Coturnix japonica: one gene and its partner. The protein of the gene in region 1 purifies or fractionates together with the protein of each later gene. This does not show direct contact. Links are inferred from orthologs where the notes say so. Each region holds a gene or a part of one and is shown in the gene's direction. Other genes may lie near its edges.

Region 1 (3,805 bases):
GATTGTGACGGCTCGCTGTAAGTGGCTGAAAAAGAAAATCATGCAGGCAAGGGAGAGGCTGAAACAGGTGAGCGTCCATGAGAAGTCAGTGCGGTGAGGTGATGCTTACTGTGCTCTGTTGGGGAAATCAGGTTGCTAGGAAGAAAACAGTATCTGCTGGGACAGATGTAGGATCCTAAGATGCTCTTGGGCCTGTAAAATAAAGAGGATAATTAGACAGATTAGAGGGAAGGTAGGATTAAGGTTTTGAGGCTGGCTGCCTTTTACCTCAATACTACGTGATTTTTCTGCAGTTTGGAGCATTATCCATCAGCTTTACTCACAGCTTCTCACCAAAAACTTGCTGTTGTCCTTCAGCATGTGGTAGCACACTACCTACAGTGAGACATATGGATGTCTCATTGCTCTGCAGTTCATTGCTTAGCCACCCCACAGCTTCATCTTCACCAGGAAAGGCTGTCAGAGCAAAACTTGGAAGTAACAGAGCGGCTTAAAATACTGTTGTGCAGCACTTGAGCTCTGCCATTGCAATGCAGGGATCTGTGGAACTTGCTTCTGCACCTTTCTTCTGCCTTGTCCAAGTAGAGATGCTGTCTCTGTTGGGACAGAATGTGAGCTCAGTGAAATTCATTCACTGATCCAGGTGTTCATTTTTGTTCCCATCCATGTTTGTCACATGGCATGGAACAAACAGGAATTGTAGTGCACGTGGACTACTTGTTATCTTGGGCATAACTTTGAAGATAATGAGGTCTTTGGATAACTGTGCAATGATGAGAAGGGTCTTTGGTTTGATAGTAATCTGTGGTGCTAATGCAGCCTTGTTGCCATGCTGGAGTGTTTTTCCTGTCTCACTAGAAATCGAAGCAAGACATTGAAGATGAGGGACACGCAGCGTGTCAGAAGGATGGCATTGGTGGCAACGTCAAACTGTGCCGCCTGCAGCCGCTGCTGGAAGTGCCCATCCGAGAGGCTGAAGCGCAGCCCTTCGAGGTGCTCATGCAGTTTCTGTACACAGATAAAATAAAATACCCTCGCAAAGGTAGGGCAGCAGGATAAGCACTGACAGCAAACGTTTTTTTGCTATTGTTTGGTCCATTGCAAACTAGGGCTGCACTGAAAGGCCAAGAAAGCCAGTATCTATCATCTCTTCTAAATGCCCAGACAAGGGAGTGCCTCAAGAAGTCCATTAGATGCACACATTGAAGATCCCTGTGTTATTAAGCAGTTGGAGGCCAGGAGGTAATTGCCAGAGATCTCTCAGCTCCAGCACAGCAAATCTGACTCCTGGCCCTGGTACAGTGCTGTTGTGCTGTGAGATTGGCAGTGGGGCACCCAGAGGGAACTCCAGCTGGGGGAGGAAAGGGAGCTGAGGCTGCACAGCACAGGTGTTCAAATGGAGGTGCATCAGCTCTAACACTGGAATCTTTGCTTCAGCTTTGGTTTGAGATCTTTCTATTCTAGAAAAGATCATCTTCAGTAAAATATTAATTTGTATGCAGTTGTTCCAAAGCTTTCCCTGCAAAGCTTAATTAATGAGGATGAGGGAACCTCCTTACTGGCTTCTGCTGACATTACCAGACCCAGCTCTCAGCTGTTCCCCTAATCCTCGGTGTGTTCCTTGCAGGAAGGTTCAGACCAAAGGAGGATTATCACACCCAGCTTCTCCCTTTGTTGCAGCAGGTTGCCCTCCCCCCTGGCCTCCCCAGTTCTCCCCAGTGTTTACCTCTCTGCAGCTTTACCAGTCTGCTGGGATCCTCCCAAGCTCCCACCCTGACTTTGTGTATTCCTGTCTGCTCCTGGGTTCAGGGGGCATTGCCCTGGGGGATCCTCTGTGCTGAGCTAATGGCACTTGGCACGCCTATCAAATGGGATTTTCCTTATTAGACACTGGGAAGCCAAATAGCATGCAAGAAGGCTTTTCTCTGTCAAAATGTAGCTACAGCAGATGGTCAGAGATCCCCTGTGAGGAAAGCAAAGACTGGAGGGTTATTTCTGGAGGCGATGTCTCAATGGCCCCATTGCAGTGGTCAGCCCAGGCCCCACAGCCCCTCTGTGCTGTGTAACCTCAGCTTCTAGGCTGACCTCTGGTCTGTACGTGTCCCATAACTGTCTGCATGTGCTTGAAAAACATTGGCCCAGAAACTCATTCAAGGTGGCTCTTTTACACCTCCATTTTGAGAGATCACTTCTTTCTTATTTTCAGTATCCGCCCTTGGTTTAATCTGGGCAGCAGTGGAACTTTTTATTCTCCATAGACACACTCTTCCAATTGCTGCCCATCGCGCTGTTCTGAACGCTCGGGTTGAGTCAGAAGAAATGCTTGGAGAAAGTTTCTCCTTTTGTTCGGTGAACTCTGGTGCCATGGAAAAGGGCTTTTCTCTCTCGTGCTTTCAGGCCATGTGCAGGATGTGTTGCTCATTATGGATGTGTACAAACTAGCCTTAAACTTCAAACTCTCTCGCCTGGAACAGCTCTGCCTTCAGTATATTGAAGCATCTGTGGATCTGCAGAATGTGCTCATTGTGTGTGAAAATGCTAACAAGCTTCAGCTGGATCAGCTCAAGGTAATCGCATTTTGCATACAAAGTAACTGATAAGAAATTAAAGACAATTTTGATGTAATTAATGTTTTGCAAAAGCTTGTCAGCTTTGCAAATTCGGTTCTCCCCTATAATTACGGCTGCCTGAGTTTGTGTCGGTGTGGATTGTACTGCAGGAGCTTGTGAATATTATACAGGCTTTTTCAATGAGTGATAGTTTTGCATGTCTGTCCTGGAAGATAGAGAGGGCAGAGTGACTTTGTCTCTTCCCCATTTGACTCTCACTGTAGTGAGATGGAAGCAGTGCATTTTCTGGTCACGGGGTTTAATGCTGAGCCTGTTAATGTGTTCTTTCACCTGATCTGATGGAAAACCAAACTCAGTTCTTAGACCTTTGATCTGAAAATCAGTGTTGGCAGCTCTCTGTATGGTGGGACTCTGAGGCGCTTGCTGAAATGCAGAGCTGATACCCACAGCCTTCAGACCGTGCTCTTGCTGCTGTGATCCCACCAAGAGTTACCAGAGCCAGTTCTGCTTCCAGCTGCAGAGAAGCAGCTCTCCACCCAAGACCAGCAATACATGCAAAATCACACAGTGCTGACTGGGACAGCTTGTGCAGAACAGGCCAGAGAGCTGATGCTTACAGCCAGAGTGGGGTTATGCAAACCGGTGTGCATCGGCACTTCCTTGGGCACTGTGCACTGGATGTGGGCAAAGGAGAGGCATCCAGGAGCACAGCAGTCAGCAGCAGTTACGTGCATGCTGGCACAGCCCTTGGTGCGTAGGACTGTGGAGCATCTCAGCACTGATGGATGCATTGCCAATGACAGCAGGTCAGCAGGCTGCATGGCTGCCAGCAGGGCAACAGGGGCTCTTCCACAGTGCTCCACTCGGTCAGGATGCTCTTGGGTTGGCATCCTGGTTCTCAGTGCCCAGTGCTCCTTGTGGCTGAGTGCCATCTGCACGAGGCTGCTCTTCCTGGCATCCCAGGCTTTATTTAAAGCATGGTTTCCGATGGGTCCCACACAGATCCTTGTAGATAGCAGCTGAACTCACTGTGACACAAAATGGAAATTAGTAATTATTCCTTGGCCTAATTTTGGACTCACCTTATGGTGAGCTGGTACAGATTACATTTTTTTTGCTTATTTAAATATCCTGAGGGAAAGCCTTGGTTTGCACTGCCAAATGGGCTGCTTTTTTTTTGTCATTCCCTTCACCGTTCAGCATTAGGTCTGGTTCATTTGTTACCTTTCTCCCAC
Region 2 (4,482 bases), on another chromosome or scaffold:
TCCAATAGTTCAGAGCGATCTGATTGTGTTTCTTGAAGTCGATCCTTTTGCTTTAAGGCACCTCCTGTTGTAACTCCACGTTGTGTTCTCTTTGCAATGTGGTTTAACCCCACGACTTCTGCTTCCAGCCAAGGGATTTAGGGGGGGTGTTTGGCTCTTTGTGGGTCCATCCTGCTGCTGTCACACAGCTGCTCACCCACCTCCAGCAATCCCTGCCTCCTTCATGCAACTCATACGGGACCTGTGGCTCTTCCAAGCTTCTCTCCCACATCTTATAACTCACTTTGATTCCACCCGTTCTGTTTTAAACAAGAAGAGAGAGAGAAAAAGGCAGCGGGTTGGTTTGGCACAGAGCTGAGCCATTGCTTGATCTGAATGGTGTGCATTTATCTCTATGGACATGAAGCACAACGTTAATGGCAGGGCTGGGTGCTGCAGAGCTAATGGGGTGTGGGACAACAGCAGCAGCTCCTGGAACAGCAGCGATGGCTCCGGCCTATCAGTGCAGGGAGCGGCTGGCACCTTTTGTACAAACATTGACTTTTTCCTATGTCTTGTAAATAAATTCAGAACCATGCTTTCATTATAAATAAATGTATAAATGATGTATAAAAACACGCGCTGGTTTGGTGAGCTGCGCCTTTAAATGCCAGCAAGTCGGCGGGGGCGGGGCCAAGGAGGGGCGTGGTCATGTGGGGGGTGGGGCTTAAGTAAGGGAGTGGGGCTTAAAGGGGGCGGGGCTTAAGTAAGAATGGAGGTTTAAAGAGGGCGGGGCTTAATTAGTGGGCGGAGCTTAAAGGGGGCGGGGCTTACGGAAGAATTGGGGCTTAAGGGGGCGGGGCTTTAAGCAAAGAGTGGGGCTTAAAGGGGGCGGGGCTTAGCAAAGGGGTGGTGTTTAGAGGGGCGGGGCTTAAGCAAGGGGTGGGGCTTAAGGGGTGGACTTCAAGGGGGCGGGGCTTAAGTAAGGGCGTGGCTTAGCAAGGGGTGGTGTTTAAAAAGGCGGGTCTCAAGGGGTGGAGCTTAAAGGGGCCGGGGCTTAAGTAAGGGGGCGGGGCTTAGCAAGGGGGTGGTGTTTAGAGGAGCGGGTCTTAAAGGGGGCGGGGCTTAAGTAAGGGCGATGCTTAAGGGGGCGGGGCTTAAGTAAGGGGGCGTGGCCTAACAAGGGGTGTTGTTTGGAGGGGCGGGGCTTAACCAGGGGGTGGGGCTTAAGGGGGCGGGGCGTGAGTAAGGGATGGGATTAAAGGGGGAGGGGCTTAAGCAAGGGGTGGGGCTTAAACGGGGGCGGAGCTTAGGTAAGGGGGCGTGGCTTAGGGGTGGTGTTAAAGGGGGCGTGGGTTACGTAAAGAGGGGTCGTGGCTTTAAAAGGGCGTGGCTTAAGCAAGGGTATGGGCTCAAAGGGGGCGTGGTTTAATTAAGGGGCGTGGCCTAGCAAAGGGGTGTTGTTTAAAGGGAGCGTGTCTTAAGGGGCGTGGCTTAAAGGGGGCGTGGCTCAGTGAGGGGCGGTCTCCCGTTGGCGCGGCCCCGCCGCCATTTTGGGCTCGGCGGCTGCGCTCCGGGCCGGGCCTTGAGGCGGCGGCGGTGTCACGGAGCGGCCTGAGGTGAGCGGGGAGAGGAGCGGCGGGGCCTCATGAAGGGCTACCGGGCCTCACGAAGGGCTGCCGGGCCTCACGAGGGGCTGCTGGGCCTTACGAAGGGCTGCCGGGCCTTATAGAGGGCTGCCGGGCCTCACGAGGGGCTGCCGGGCCTCACGCTGTTTTCCTCCCGTTCAGGAGCTTTGGAGATGGACGCCGGAGCCCGGCCGGGCGGAGCGGGGCAGCCCCGGGAGTATAAACTGGTGATGTTGGGAGCCGGCGGCGTCGGGAAGAGCGGTGAGTGAGGAGCCGGGCGGAGCTCCGCGCTGTGCCGCCGTTGGGGCCGCGTTGGGCATCGTCTGACATTGTTTCTCTTCCATTGTTTCTCTCCATTGCAGCCATGACGATGCAGTTCATCAGTCACCGCTTTCCCGAGGATCACGACCCGACCATCGGTGAGAACAGCCCCCCCCGACCCGCTCAGCCCCCCGCGGTCGCGCTGCTGTGGGTCCGGTGCTTTGAAGTGGGGCTCCCTTTGTGTAACGTTCCCCCTTTGCGTGTGTGTCGGTGATGAATGAGTTTTGCAATGGCGTTCAGTTCACGTTTTGTTCTCCCCCGACGTGCTGCGGATCCAGAGGATGCCTATAAGATACGGATACGCATCGACGACGAACCTGCCAACCTGGATATATTGGATACAGCGGGACAGGTTGGTGAGCAGCATTGAGTGCATGGGAGGATACAGGGATAGAAAGAACCCCACAGCAATGTGCCTTTCTGTTCTTCTGAGTGGCCTTTAGAGCTGTCTGAATTCATCCTTATACCCACAGCATCGCTGTTGTTTAGGCAGCCCAGGCAGCACTTCATTCATGTGTCACTAACACAGCACACGAATGCAATGGAGATCTCATCTCACTGCCCGCACTCAGCACATGATGTGTATTGGCTGATAGTCTTTGGATTGGTTTGACTCCCTTCTTGTACCTAATTGAAATCTCCTCTTTTAGTTTGATATCTCTTCCCTCAGTCTCCTCACAGCAGGCTCTGCTAATGAGCCCGTCCCCTCCTTAATTACAGCCTCTTTAGTAATTGAAAGGCCGCTCTCAGCTCTCCATGCTGAGCAGCCCCAGCTCTCCCAGCCTGTCCTCTTAGGGTACGTATCATCCCTTGGGTCCTTCTACAGATACAAAATACTTCCTTATGTTTATTTCTTTACCAAGGGAAAGGTGGTGTTGATCCCGTAGAGTTTTGTCCTTTGTGTGACAGGATGAGGAGAGAAATGCTTCCAATTTTGAGCAAATCAAACAACGGTTGTGTTTGTGTCGCGCTCTGTTTGTAGGCAGAGTTCACGGCCATGAGGGACCAATACATGAGGGCTGGAGAGGGGTTTATCATCTGCTACTCCATCACAGATCGACGCAGCTTCCACGAAGTGCGTGAGTTCAAGCAGCTCATTTATCGTGTCCGACGCACCGACGACACCCCCGTGGTTCTGGTGGGGAACAAATCGGACCTGACGCAGCTGAGGCAGGTATGTGGCTCCCAAATAGACCTTCCCACCTGCTTCAGAACATGGTGATAGATCGTGTTCTTAATTCCTTTGGGGTTCACTCTGTAGTATGTTGAACATGAGAGCTGTATGAATTTAAACTGGAGTGCTGAATAGCTATAGCTATATATGCATATAGCATGTAACTACCATGGGAGTGAAATCTTCCAGTTGATGCTTTGAGTTTCAGCTGCTCTTGGGCTTTTCCTGTCTTTATTTCCTTCTTTTAATGGGGGTACGGCACTGCATAAACCCCTTGTAAGTATTACAGACCTAAGGATGCGAGTCTGCTAAGAAAGGAGGTGTAATAATGGGGGTAAGAATGAACAGAAAGGGAGCTTCAGCTTAAGGGAATGGTAACTCTTGTCTGTGGGAAACTGACAGACGTTCATTGTGGGCTGAGGGCTGCTCTCATCAGGCATCCAGGACTATATTGTGGGAAGGGAATACTCTCTGAAAGGCTTTTCTTGTTTGAATAACCAGAGCTTCTGTATCTGCTGAGTCTCCTATGGGTGGTTACGTTGCTTGATGGATGAAAGAGAAGAGGGTTTGTAAAGAAAGATGCAGACATGGGTGGAGGTGGGCAGTTCTGGAATGGGGAGGGTGCACACGCAGCTCTTAGCCGTGAACAAGAAGAGAGGAAGGAAGAACCTGCCTGGTTTGGGCTTTCTTGACAAGTATATGGGGTTTTTTTTTGCAGGTCTCCAAAGAAGAAGGTTCTGCATTGGCACGAGAATTCAACTGTCCTTTCTTTGAGACTTCGGCTGCGTATCGTTACTACATCGACGACGTGTTCCATGCTCTGGTGAGAGAAATCCGCAGGAAAGAGAAAGAAGCAGTGATGGCAATGGAGAAAAAATCCAAACCTAAAAGCAGCGTTTGGAAAAGATTGAAATCCCCGTTCAGGAGGAAGAAGGATTCGGTCACTTGAAGAGAACGAACTCCTCTGTAAGAGAAAACATGGGAGCAGCCACTCGTAACCAAAGCGGTTGAATGACAACATTTCAGCAGTAGGTTTAAAGACTGATGGGACTTGTGTGAGGGGGAGCATCACTCTTAGCCATTCTTTTTTGCTTCAAATGATATTCTCTCTTAGTTCTGGATATTTAACTCGAGACACGGTAACAATTTGACTTCTGTTTGTTGTCATTTTTAGACCGGATTCTCCAAATACTGCTTGTATGTTGGTTACAGATGCTGGTAGGTTTCTGACGCTGCACTTTTTGGTCGCTGCATTGAGTTGTTTTAAGAGGTAAAAAAAAACAAACAAGATGCTGAATTTCTACCCAACTTAATTCAATCCTGTTTCTCAGTTGTTTGCACAACAAAATGTTGCTGCATTCCCATCACCAGAGGAGGATT

What was found.
Region 2: the proteins of LZTR1 (region 1) and RIT1 purify together in Homo sapiens (affinity purification with mass spectrometry; 3 studies listed by BioGRID and IntAct, counting the BioPlex papers as one, with this or other methods). This does not show direct contact. The link is inferred for Coturnix japonica from reciprocal best matches to the Homo sapiens genes LZTR1 and RIT1.

What each region holds. Positions count from the first base shown.
Region 1 is NC_029541.1:985,985-989,789, forward strand, and holds part of LZTR1 (leucine-zipper-like transcriptional regulator 1), read left to right. Parts: coding exon 1-67; intron 68-858; coding exon 859-1,042; intron 1,043-2,397; coding exon 2,398-2,567; intron 2,568-3,805. UniProt on the Homo sapiens protein: Substrate-specific adapter of a BCR (BTB-CUL3-RBX1) E3 ubiquitin-protein ligase complex that mediates ubiquitination of Ras (K-Ras/KRAS, N-Ras/NRAS and H-Ras/HRAS).
Region 2 is NC_029540.1:1,802,619-1,807,100, reverse strand, and holds the start of RIT1 (GTP-binding protein Rit1), read left to right. Parts: upstream 1-1,467; 5' UTR 1,468-1,598; intron 1,599-1,769; 5' UTR 1,770-1,780; coding exon 1,781-1,868; intron 1,869-1,969; coding exon 1,970-2,026; intron 2,027-2,206; coding exon 2,207-2,280; intron 2,281-2,910; coding exon 2,911-3,102; intron 3,103-3,820; coding exon 3,821-4,051; 3' UTR 4,052-4,482.